Xenopus tropicalis: one gene and its partner. The protein of the gene in region 2 interacts with the protein of the main gene of each other region in a biochemical or structural test. Links are inferred from orthologs where the notes say so. Each region holds a gene or a part of one and is shown on either strand. Other genes may lie near its edges.

What was found. The genes of interacting proteins can lie anywhere in the genome.
Region 1: of the proteins of malt1 (region 2) and relb, one has a biochemical effect on the other in vitro, tested with the Homo sapiens proteins (2 studies listed by BioGRID). The link is inferred for Xenopus tropicalis from reciprocal best matches to the Homo sapiens genes MALT1 and RELB.

Annotation. Positions count from the first base shown.
Region 1 is NC_030684.2:71,126,514-71,132,731, forward strand, and holds the start of relb (transcription factor RelB), read left to right. Parts: upstream 1-2,727; 5' UTR 2,728-3,008; coding exon 3,009-3,030; intron 3,031-3,772; coding exon 3,773-3,811; intron 3,812-6,218.
Region 2 is NC_030677.2:201,626,687-201,632,358, reverse strand, and holds part of malt1 (mucosa-associated lymphoid tissue lymphoma translocation protein 1), read left to right. Parts: intron 1-1,967; coding exon 1,968-2,134; intron 2,135-5,579; coding exon 5,580-5,672. UniProt on the Homo sapiens protein: Protease that enhances BCL10-induced activation: acts via formation of CBM complexes that channel adaptive and innate immune signaling downstream of CARD domain-containing proteins (CARD9, CARD11 and CARD14) to activate NF-kappa-B and MAP kinase p38 pathways which stimulate expression of genes encoding pro-inflammatory cytokines and chemokines.

The DNA of each region.
Region 1 (6,218 bases), on a different chromosome or scaffold from region 2:
AAATCCTATGCTATCATGTTAGACAAGCAAAATTTACTTACACTATATAAACTTTTAAAAATTTGTTTCCTTCATTCTTTTTAAATCAATGAGCATACAGACAGGCACAATTTTGTCGGAACTGTTATTAAGGCAAGCTTTGCATCATGCTGAAATATACTGTATGTGCTAGAAAGGAGGGCCTATTGCACATATGCATAGTCTATGCATTATCATAGAGAGTGAGGAGGGTGTGGGTATGAGATCAGCAACATCAAGAAAGTACAGAAATGAAAGTAAAATCTGTCCCTTAGGCATAGAGGTGGGGAAGGCTATATGTTTTTGGCAGCTGAGATTTTGAAATGAGTTAATAATGAGTATGGGCAGCCACAGCTGCAAATAATGTTCCTCAATAATACAACACCTTTAATTTAGGGTTTCAGTCATGCTTTTGTGAGAAAGAATCTTACCTATTTGTCCATCAATGGTTAAACTTAGTCCAGTACAAGTAGGAAGTGGATGAGTGGTGGGTGAGCTTTTTTTAAGGGTTGATGCACAGTACTGATATTTACCATGTGCCTAACACAACAGAAAAGGGGTAGCTGTTTTTGTAGTCATTAGTGGGTGATTAGAAAGCACAATTTGATAACAGTAAAAATCAGCAAGCCATATAGCTTCAATGCTGCATTGTTGGTCAAAAACAATGAACTTTTGCCCAAAATGAGACTTTTGATCTTTTAGCACAGTGCTGTTTAACTTATCATATGTAGTTGGTCAATTATATGTCATACAGTATGTTGGAGGGCCAGATATAAAATATTGATGTCATATAGTGAAATTTATGGAGCCTTTGAGCAGTCTGGGGGGTCATAAAAATCTATGGAGGGCCAAATCTGGCCCGTGGGCCTTCAGTTGGACAGCCCTGTTTTAGGATATGGAGAATAGGATTTCATGCAACTGTGATAACAGTAATTTACCTTTTCCGGTCCTGTTAGATTTGCTATTCTCCATTAAGTCATAACAGGATTCTGGGAACAAATTCCTTTAGGCTCTTAGAAAAGTCCCATTTACATGGGCTTGTCCCATTTACATGGGTTTATCCTATAGACTAATGTTGACCCACTGGGTTTTCAATGCCAGGATAATAGCTGATCAGATTCCCAACTACAGACCAGTTTCACCCTTCTTGGGGCTCATTAGTGTAGTGCAGGGTTCTCTGATCAGCTTAGGTAAGCCAGGAGTGGGGATTCACAAACAAACTAAAAGGGTTGAGGAGACCGCCTCATACGTATGCAAATAATTCATAACAGGATTCTGGGAACAAATTCCTTTAGGCTCTTAGAAAAGTCCCATTTACATGGGTTTATCCTATAGACTAATACTGACCCACTGGGTTTCCAATGCAAAAGCCAGGATAATAGCTGATCAGATTCCCAACTACAGACCAGTTTCGCCCTTCTTGGGGCTCATCAGTGTAGTGCAGGGTTCTCTGATGAGCTTAGGTAGAGCCAAAGGAATTTGTTCCCAGAATCCTGTTATGACTTATTTGCACACGTATGAGGCGGTCTCCTCAACCCTTTTAGTCTATTCTCCATTAGTAATTCATTAGGGTAAATCATCTCCAATGAAAGGTTCCTTGACTAGCGCCACAAGTCAGAAACCAAGTTTAAACTTAAAGCCTAGCCTAGTTCCTAGGCAGGCAGAATGCAGTATGTTTTGTCCCACCAGTGTAGTAGAACACAGAACATCCCCACAGGAAAGCGCAGGAACTAACACTGGTGAGTACAAGCCCTTAGCTGGTCTAGTGCAGATTGCCAGGCAAGGATCTTGACTTGTAAAGAATAGCTGTGTGCTGAAGACCATGAGATACAGCCAAGGATTTTATCCTCTTTTAGCGCATGCACTCTTTACATGCCAACTGTGGGTTCTATAACCTTTCTTTGACCTGCCACTGGGCATTCAGATATATAGCTTGCTCGCTTGCATGCCAGGGCTGATGGTAGAGTCTCTCTTTCCTCAGCACCATACTTAGGTTAAGAATAGTTAACCTCAAAAATAACTCTTTGTATACTGTGGACATTGATATTTTGACACAAATTGCAGTTGGTCTTTTTTTTTTTATCAGCAGCTCTCCATTTTGTAATTACAGCTGTTATCTGGTGGCTAGGGCCCCATTTACCAAGTAACTTAGGGTTGGTTTAAATGACAGACTGCAAAATTAACTAAAGAGGAAATGAATTGAAAGATAAGTAATAAAAACACAAATAATTTTTTTTTTTAAATTGGTTGCATAAAATAAAAGTTTTTTTAACTGCTGGGTCTGTGACCCCTTGAAATATATATATATATAAGTTTTTAAAATTACAAGCTGGAAAGACGTACAATCCAGGCCAAAAATAAAAAAAAAAACAATAGATTAGCTTAGTCTATAAACTACACCCAAATAATTGTGGTTTTCTAATCTTTAGGATTAGTTCCCCGAACTCCTTGTGTTTATTCACAAATTCCACTGCCTCTCTCACAAAACTCACACAGTAACAGTGAGGACTAACGCTTTAGTGCGGGCTAGTGGCCTTTCCCTTAGTATACTTAGGTCTCTTGCCCACGCCATGGCGGTCCTAAGAATACATTTCTTAAGAAAACCTTCGAGTCCCCGCCCTGCTGCATCCACAACATCCACGCTGAAGCTCCGGCTATGAATCCCATTCACCGAACTCCTTGGCTACCAGGCTCCTGGCAGTGTCGTCACGCTAATGGGAAGTCACGTGTGATTACAGGCAGAGACAAGGGGATTTCCTTGGGCCCAGTCGACGTGACGTTATAGTAGACTTGCGACCAATCGGAAGAGCGGAACGGGGGAATTCCAGACTGGAAAGTGAGCTCCGGGAGAATTGCAGCCTGAGTAGTTGGGGTTCGTTCGTGGTTAGGGGGTGTGTATACTCGGTGCCAAGCCAGTCGGATGGTTAGGGTTCACATACAAATGTAGGATTTCTCAGGTTTTAATTACGGCTTTGAATACAGCAGACACAATGAGAGAAGAGGGGCGGGCAGGTAAGTGCGCGAATGTGCTCCCAAACTTCCACTTGCTCCATCCTAGGAATAAGCAGCTTTTTGTGCTCCAGATGATAGCAAACAACAACTGCCAGGCTAAAGTTGCATGCCCATGTGCCAGATGCCAAATAGTTGCCTGCCCATGTGCCAGATGCCAAATAGTTGCCTGTCCGTGCTCTACCCCATGCACAGTTACCAAAGTAATTGTTATTAATCTTCCTGACTATATGATAGGTCACAATTACAGCACGGTTGTTTCGGCTGTCTGCATATCCGCGGAGTTGTAGTTCAGCACTAGCAGTAGGGACACAGAATGGAAGCTCTACACATAATAAACAGCAGCTTCCTCCTAAGTGCAGGCAACTTCTGTAAACTGCCAGTGTAGAGAGTGTAGTTCCACAGCAGCCCTAAAATCTATATGTTCAGTATTAGCTTGTTTTAAGTTTCCCACCCTACCTCCATGGTGCAGTTAGGGGAATATCCATATAGCAGGATTTCCATGTTTTACTTCTGATAGTCACTAGAAAGAGTAGCTTGTGTAGCAGTGTCTATATAACATGTCTAATATAACATGTGTATATATATATATATATATTTTTTATTTTTTTTTTATTTTTTATTTTTTTATTATATTGACACATTAGGGTTGACCATGAAAGTGTTGCACGTCCCGCTATCTTTAGAGCCCTATTGTACAGATACACTTGTACATTTTTTGATTATACATACCTCTTTTTTTTAGAGACTTCTTTTTTGTCTCAGCAACTTGGGACAACAATTGGTGAGTAACCAGTGTCTTTGTGTATGTGGCAGAGATTGTGTGTGTGCCAGTTTCTATATAACTAGTGTTGGGTCATGGCACTAGTGCCAACATTCCCAAGTCTGATCTTGCCCGTTCCCACACCTTGTGTCTCATCCCCTTCTCCTTATAGATTGCAAGCTCTTTTGGGCAGGTTCCTCTTCACCAATTGTATTGGTTATCGGTTGCTTTGTATGTAATTCTGTATGGCCCATGTGTAAACCAATTTATTGTACAGTGCTGCAACTTTGTAAATACATAATATAATAATAATAATAATAACTATTTGTGGGTGATTGTTTATAAGTTTTAGTACTATTATGCTTGCTGCTAATAAAGTGGCATTAAATTGAACAAATTTGGACAGTCAGACAAGTAACTGTTGGCAATTATTTTGTAGAAAACAAGTGTTCTGTGGGAAATAATAATGCGGGTTCAACTGCATTGTGGAGTCAAGAACTTAAGAGACTGTCACAAATGCTGTTTGAGGCAGGGCTGATTGGAGGACAGAAGCATACAACCATAATATTTAATACTATTATGCTCCATTAGGTTCAAGCTTCACTTTGTGGACTTTACATTATAGCAACTTTACTTAAATTTGTATAAAACATTATTTTATCAGTCACCCTAATAAACAGTTTAACACAACCTCTTCAGAGAACAAACTAAAACAAGACAAGTTTTAATGCACAAATATAATACTAAATTTAAATCATAATGCTACAAATTGTAATGCTCAAATAAAAAAATAAAATATCTAAACATATCTAAACATTTTTTTTGTTCATGGTTTAGGCAATATTCCCCACTCTTCCTTGCAGAACACGTCTTTATTCAGTAGTATACATACAGTATAAGGGGTACAAATAGTATACTCCTTATATACTCCTTGCACTGTTTGTAAGATGTGGACCAAGAAAATATGAGTGATCATAAAACAAACACATTTCTTTTATTTGTTTTTCAAGTATCTCTTTATTGTGCATAAGGAAACACCCACACCACTTAGTTACAGAGAAACCTGTATTTCAGTTGCTTGTGGGGTTTTCTTTGCATTCAAAAAATCTTCATGGAAGATGTGTCTGACATTTTTCCTGGTCTACCTGACAGAAGCCTTAATCTTCTAATTCCTGAGCTTTGACATGTTCAAAGCTTTGTATATCTTTTTATCTCAGTTTATGAAATATTTTTAGCCATATATGTTTGTATAGTTTAGTTTTTCTTTAAGAATCTGCATAAAATACATCCACATTAAAAATAATAATTCATAATTCAATATTTGTCCCTTGGAATGTGGGTTTTGGCAGATAATGGTTGCACAATCCTATATTCTACAAAAAACAGATAAGCAGGTTTTACAGAATTCTCTGGCATTTTTAAAACCCTAAGTCTAATACATTCTGCATAAGCTGATTACAATGGTTTTATGGACCTTTTTCTCAGGCAGGTGTTAGCTGAAATATAGGCAAAATGTCATAGAACAGCATCTTATACCACCCCAATATTTTTCTTGTACTGATGACAATGTGTTTTCAAAATCAGGTAAAATGTGCATCTGGAACATCATCTGGATTCATTTAGTTAGCTTAGTTGCACCTTTAGCCCACTATGGTGGTTAACATTGGTAACATTTTAGTTCAATCCTTTAGGGTCAATAATATAAACACTGGTAAGTGTATGTATTTAGATTTAGATAACTGTACATGCTTTATATGTTTTATCTTATGAAAATAAAAATGGAAAATAAACAAACCTCCATATGGGCACACCTTGCTCTTTCCAACTTGCCCCCCATGTATTTGTTGAATTGACATATAACTTTGATTTAATTCTAATATGTTTTGTTTTAATTATTGTCTTTATTGAGTGTAAACAATTGTAATACAGCAGTAAGTATCACAATATATCAGCTTAGTCATTGTTGGACTGTGGACAGGATACCGGGAAAAAACCCAATGGCCCCCATCGACCCAGTGCCACTCCCATGGCTGCCATTGGTGAGCTTTTGGGTGTTAGGGGGTCTGTCCATGGTTACTTGATTAGCCGTTCTTCTGTGTCAGATTTCCAGCTCACAGAAAAATTCTACAGGGCACACGCATGAGTATGCTCAGTTTGCTCCTCTCCCTCTCCCCCTCTCATCAGCATTTGCTCCCCCTTCCCCACTCTGTGTAATCTGAGCTACCAGCAGCTAGATCTGCAGCATGGAAGCTAAAATGTCAGCTACTATTTTAAACAGAGGGAACTCCTAGGGCTGTTTACGCAGGTATGGTGAAGCTTTCTGCCAAAGGGTCGGACTGGGGGCTGGGCTGCCACCCAAAGGTGCCCCACACACACCCCAGGGGCCTCCACCGCATGCGCACGCCCCATCCCTCCCTCCGAGCATGCA
Region 2 (5,672 bases):
CAGCCTTGTGCCTTTATATGGGCACAGAACCCCTCAGTGAGTGCTAATATCCTTATCATTTACAGTAGGGGGTACATTATCCCTTATAATACATGAGTGATACTCAGAGTTCCCTGTATAACTCAGCCTGCAGCCTTGTGCCTTTATATGGGCACAGAACCCCTCAGTGACTGCTAATATCCTTATCATTTACAGTAGGGGGTACATTATCCCTTATAATACACAAATATTTTTAAATCCATATATTTTTACCTAGGGGTATATTATTCCCTATCTGTTCCTTACTGCAGAACCTACAGGCACAATATAGTATTATAAGCACAAAGGGATGTTTACTTTTAAGCTTGATGTCAGTTTATGGATTCGTAGGAAATGTACTTTGCATCCTAGAATTTTAAATGCAAATGTTATTAATGTGCAGAATAATAGTCAGACCTTTATATGTATCCTTGTTCCTTGTTAGAGTTTTAGAAAATTCCATTTTTAGCACATTGCCCTTTTGCATTGCGCACCCTTACGTTTATTTAAAGGGCTTCAGGGAAGGTTACAGAGACAGATCTTATATTGGAGTTTTGGTGAAGGAGGAAGAGGAGGGTAAGAAGGCTTGTGTAGTAATGACTATAAAGGTGGAAGCTGGAATTCATTGCCTAGGGAATTACACAGTAACATGTGGGAGGCCGTCTACTCACTATTACCTTACTGCTGGAGAAGGAAGACTTGTACAAATACATTTTGTATATAATTCTGTTTACAAAATGTGGGCAGAAATTGCATTTAGTGCTCATTTACTGATGCAAGTGCAGTGTACCAAGTAGGGTTGCCATCTTGCCAACTCAGCCAGTAAAATACCAGCAAAGGGTGGGGCTATTATTAAAAAATTACTGCCAATATATACTGGGTATATATAATTTGTAATTCAATTGGGCCCTTGCCGCCTTACATTCGCCCCCAGCCCGCCCCTTTCTTCCCTCCACACTAACCTAATCCAACTAATCTGGTTTGGTCCCCTTGATGATTAGACTCCACCCCTGTGACATCATGGCCCCACCCATTTATGTCACTATCTATATCTTTATGGACCCATCACCGCGCAGCCGGTAGAGTTTATAGAAAAAGGTGACAACCCTAGTACCAAGCAAAAAAACAACAAGAAAAAAAAAACAAAAAAATCATAAATTGCTAATTTTTGGGCCACAGTGAATCACAAGGCTTACACAGCTGTGTTATGGCCAGTATGTGGGAATGCATGCTGTTATATTTATATTTTTAGTTGCTTATTGGGGGGGGGGGGGGTAATGCAATGAGCAACATCACCTGTGATGTTTTACTCCACTTTTTACACAGCATGATAAATATACCCCTTGGTGTTTTATGAAGTTTTTTTAACTGCAATTCTTGGGTTTTCCTAAAACCTGCCCACTCTTTGGACAACATGAACATAGTGTTACTGAAACCATCTTTCCCTGCTGTCCTATCTTACTTTGATTTATCAGTTTTCCCTACCTTTTCTGCCAATAGCTGTTGCCCTAGGGCAGTTATCCCCAACCAGTGGCTCAGGGGCAACATGTTGCTCCCCAACCCCTTGGGTGTTGCTCTCAGTGCCCCCAAACCAGGGAGTTATTTTTTCCTGACTTGGGGGCAAGTTTTGGTTGAATAAAAACAAGATTTCCTACCAAATAAAGCCCCCTGTAAGCTGATAGGGTGCATAGAGGCCCCTAATAGCCAATCACAGCCCTTATTTGGCTCCTCCATGAACTTTTATGGTGCTTGTGTTGCTCCCCAAGTCTTTTTATATTTGACTGTGGCTCTCGAGTAAGAAAGGTTGGGGATCCCTGCCCTACAGAGATAGACTATGTACCAGGCCCAGGCCAGTCTATTTTTACGCACCCATTTAAAGGCAGTTCTGTGTGATAGTCCTTTATTTGCTACCCTGCTGATAGTAATGCAGACATATTCTTTCTTTCTAGTTCTCAAGAGCTGCACCAATGTTCCCTCAAAGTGATGCTGTCAGAAGGAAGCCCCTCACGCAGTTTGCTAAAATTAATGGGGGAACGAGGATGCACCACAAAGGATCTGACAGAGTTCCTACAGAGTATCGGCCAGTCAAATGCTATTCAGTTGCTGAAGCCCCCAGGTCAGACTTTGTTGCCTTGTTTAGCCTCTAAGCTATGATGGACATATCTGGTGTTCCTGTGGATAAACAGTCATGGAAACATTTGTCAGGGGTTTAGATTTGGCATATCAATGTCTCCCCCCCTACTCTGACCTCATTATTTATTGCCCTTAACTACAAATAAGCCTTTTATAGATGGGCTATCTGTAGTTCAGAGCAATAAATATTTAATAAGGTCAAAGATTTGGGACTTTGTGTGGAAATAATGACGGCTGGGAGGTATCGAAATATTATGTGATTTAAAATTTATAAAAACTCATTATTTTACAGGTATGTTACCCATTATCCAGAATGCTCTGGACCCACACTTTTCCTTATAAGGGATCTTTCTTTAATTTGGATCCCCATAACTTAAGTCTGCTAAAAATCATTTAAATATTGAATAAACCCAATAGGGCTGTTCTGCCCCCAATAAGGGGTAATTATATCTTAGTTGGGATCAAGTACAGGTATTGTTTTATTATTACAGAGAAAAGGGAATCATTTAACCATGAAATAAACCCAATAGGGCTGTTCTGCCCCCAATAAGGGGTAATTATATCTTAGTTGGGATCAAGTACAGGTACTGTTTTATTATTACAGAGAAAAGGGAATCATTTAACCATGAAATAAACCCAATAGGGCTGTTCTGCCCCAATAAGGGGTAATTATATCTTAGTTGGGATCAAGTACAGGTACTGTTTTATTATTACAGAGAAAAGGGAATCATTTAACCATTAAATAAACCCAATAGGGCTGTTCTGCCCCAATAAGGGGTAATTATATCTTAGTTGGGATCAAGTACAGGTACTGTTTTATTATTACAGAGAAAAAGGAAATCATTTTTAAAAATTAGAATTATGTGTTTATAATGGAGTCTATGGGAGATGGTCTTTCCGTAATTCGGAACTTTCTGGATAACAGGTTTCCGGATAAGGGATCCCATACCTGTATTATATATTGTAAATTTTTATTTTTGACTCAAGGGCAATATTTACCGATATATATATATTCCAGTTTGGGGAGATTATTTAATAGGCCACTTGATTTAATATAAACTATCTGTTGGTTAAGTATTCATTCTGGGGGGGGTATAGTTTTCTTTAGTATACACCCTAAGGATATTATTGTTTCTGTTCATTTTTGGGTGTGTGCATAGACAGATGATAACATGTATAACATGGAGATTTCCCCAGCCATAAGCATTTAAATGACTCAAGGAAACATATCAGTTTGTGCTGCCAAATTGTATTTAGCCACCAAACATGCAATGTTATATCTATAGGAATATGTTGTCAATAACTAGCATTTGCCTTGTCATGTTTATAGGGTTCTACAGGTTCCTCTCTATGGGTTCCTCCTGCTTGCATCAAGATCTAATGCAACATTACAAAGCCATTATTAATTGTTAAGACATATATAATTATTACTATAAGCAGTCATAACACTTTTTAAAGGGCACCTATTGCTCCCAGCAAATACTGTGGCTCAGTGTATGCCTAATTGCCTGTTCCAGTGCCTGTATTGCTGTGTAACCACCTTCTCTAGCGGTGCTGCTGCCAATACATTGGGAGAAACCACAAACACTTCTGTTAATTTACAATAGGGATCCATATGTGCCTTTTAGTGCCCAGTAGCAAGGCATTAATGGCAGCGGGCTTCATTGTGCACAACCGCCTGGAACTTATTGGGGCAGGCTGGGCGGCCATGTTGGCCCTTACCACAAGATGCCAAGGAGCATGTTTTGATGCAGGTTCCTTTGTGAATAGCATCAATGCGAGATTAATTCTTTGTGTGTTGCATATGTAACTGACTATTGAATAACCTAGTGGACGATCAGTTCCCTTGGGGTACTATTAGATATATTACAGACTTCTTTGGAAAACCATACCCCTAGCATGAATACAGGTACAGGACCCGTTATCCAGAATGCTTGGGACCAAGGGTATTCCGGATAAAGGGTCTTTCCGTAATTTGGATCTCTATACCTTAAGTCTGCTAAAAAATCAATAAAACATGAATTAACTTAACATGAATTTTATTATTACAGAGAAAAGGGAATCATTTAACCATTAAATAAACCCAATAGGACTGTTCTGCCCCCAATAAGGGGTAATTATATCTTAGTTGGGATCAAGTACAGGTACTGTTTTATTATTACAGAGAAAAGGTAATCATTTAACCATGAAATAAACCCAATAGGGCTGTTCTGCCCCAATAAGGGGTAATTATATCTTAGTTGGGATCAATTACAGGTACTGTTTTATTATTACAGAGAAAAGGGAATCATTTAACCATTAAATAAACCCAATAGGGCTGTTCTGCCCCCAATAAGGGGTAATTATATCTTAGTTGGGATCAAGTACAGGTACTGTTTTATTATTACAGAGAAAAGGGAATCATTTAACCATGAAATAAACCCAATAGTGCTGTTCTGCCCCCAATAAGGGGTAATTATATTTTAGTTGGGATCAATTACAAGGTTCTGTTTTATTACTACAGAGAAAAAGGAAATTAGTTTTAAAATTCTGAATTATTTGATTAAAATGGAGTCTATGGGAAACGGGCTTTCCGTAATTCGGAGCTTTCTGGAAAACGGGTATCCGCATAAGGGGTCTGATACCTGTACTTAACCAGCAGATAGTTTATATCGTATTAAGTGGCCTATTAAAGATTATTACCAAACTTTTGCATGTTTTCCCTTAAACCACCATTATGTGATGGGCTGTGTGCTCCCTCAGAGATCAGCTGACAGGAAGTTACATAGTTACATAGTTACATAGGGTTGAAAAAAGACCATTGTCCATCAAGTTCAACCCATCCAAGTAAACCCAGCACACACAACCTATACTTACCAATCTATACACTCACATACATAAACTATATATATACAACCAGTAATACTAACTGTAGATATTAGTATCACAATAGCCTTGGATATTCTGATTGATCAAGAACTCATCCAGGCCCCTCTTAAAGGCATTAACAGAATCTGCCATTACCCCATCACTAGGAAGGGCATTCCCCAACCTCACTGCCCTCACCGTGAAAAACCACCTACTCTGCTTCAAATGGAAGCTCTGTTCCTCTAATGTGATGCAGCTCTAACTGTAACAGGAAGTAGTGTTGGAGTAAAAGGCAGAACTCTGCCCATTCATTGGCTGATGGGACCTAGCATGTATGTGTGCCTTGGCTTGTTTGTGTGCACTGTGAATCCTATGATCCCAGGGGGCGGCCCTTAGTACTTAAAATGGCAGTTTTCTACTTACGATTACCTAATGCCACATACTACTAAAAAAGCATATTTTTGTGAAAATTTTTTTTTAGATGAAGCAGAGTTTTACATATGAGCTGTTTTATATTTGTATAGAAAGCTACATTGTTTGTGGATATAGTTTTCCTTTAATATTGGTCTTTGTTGTTGTAGGGATTAAAGTCATTATGCAGCCCGAGCCGATGGCTGTTTTAGCTGGACAAATGGTGAAGCTGACATGTGTAGGCTCTGGCCACCCTTTTGTCA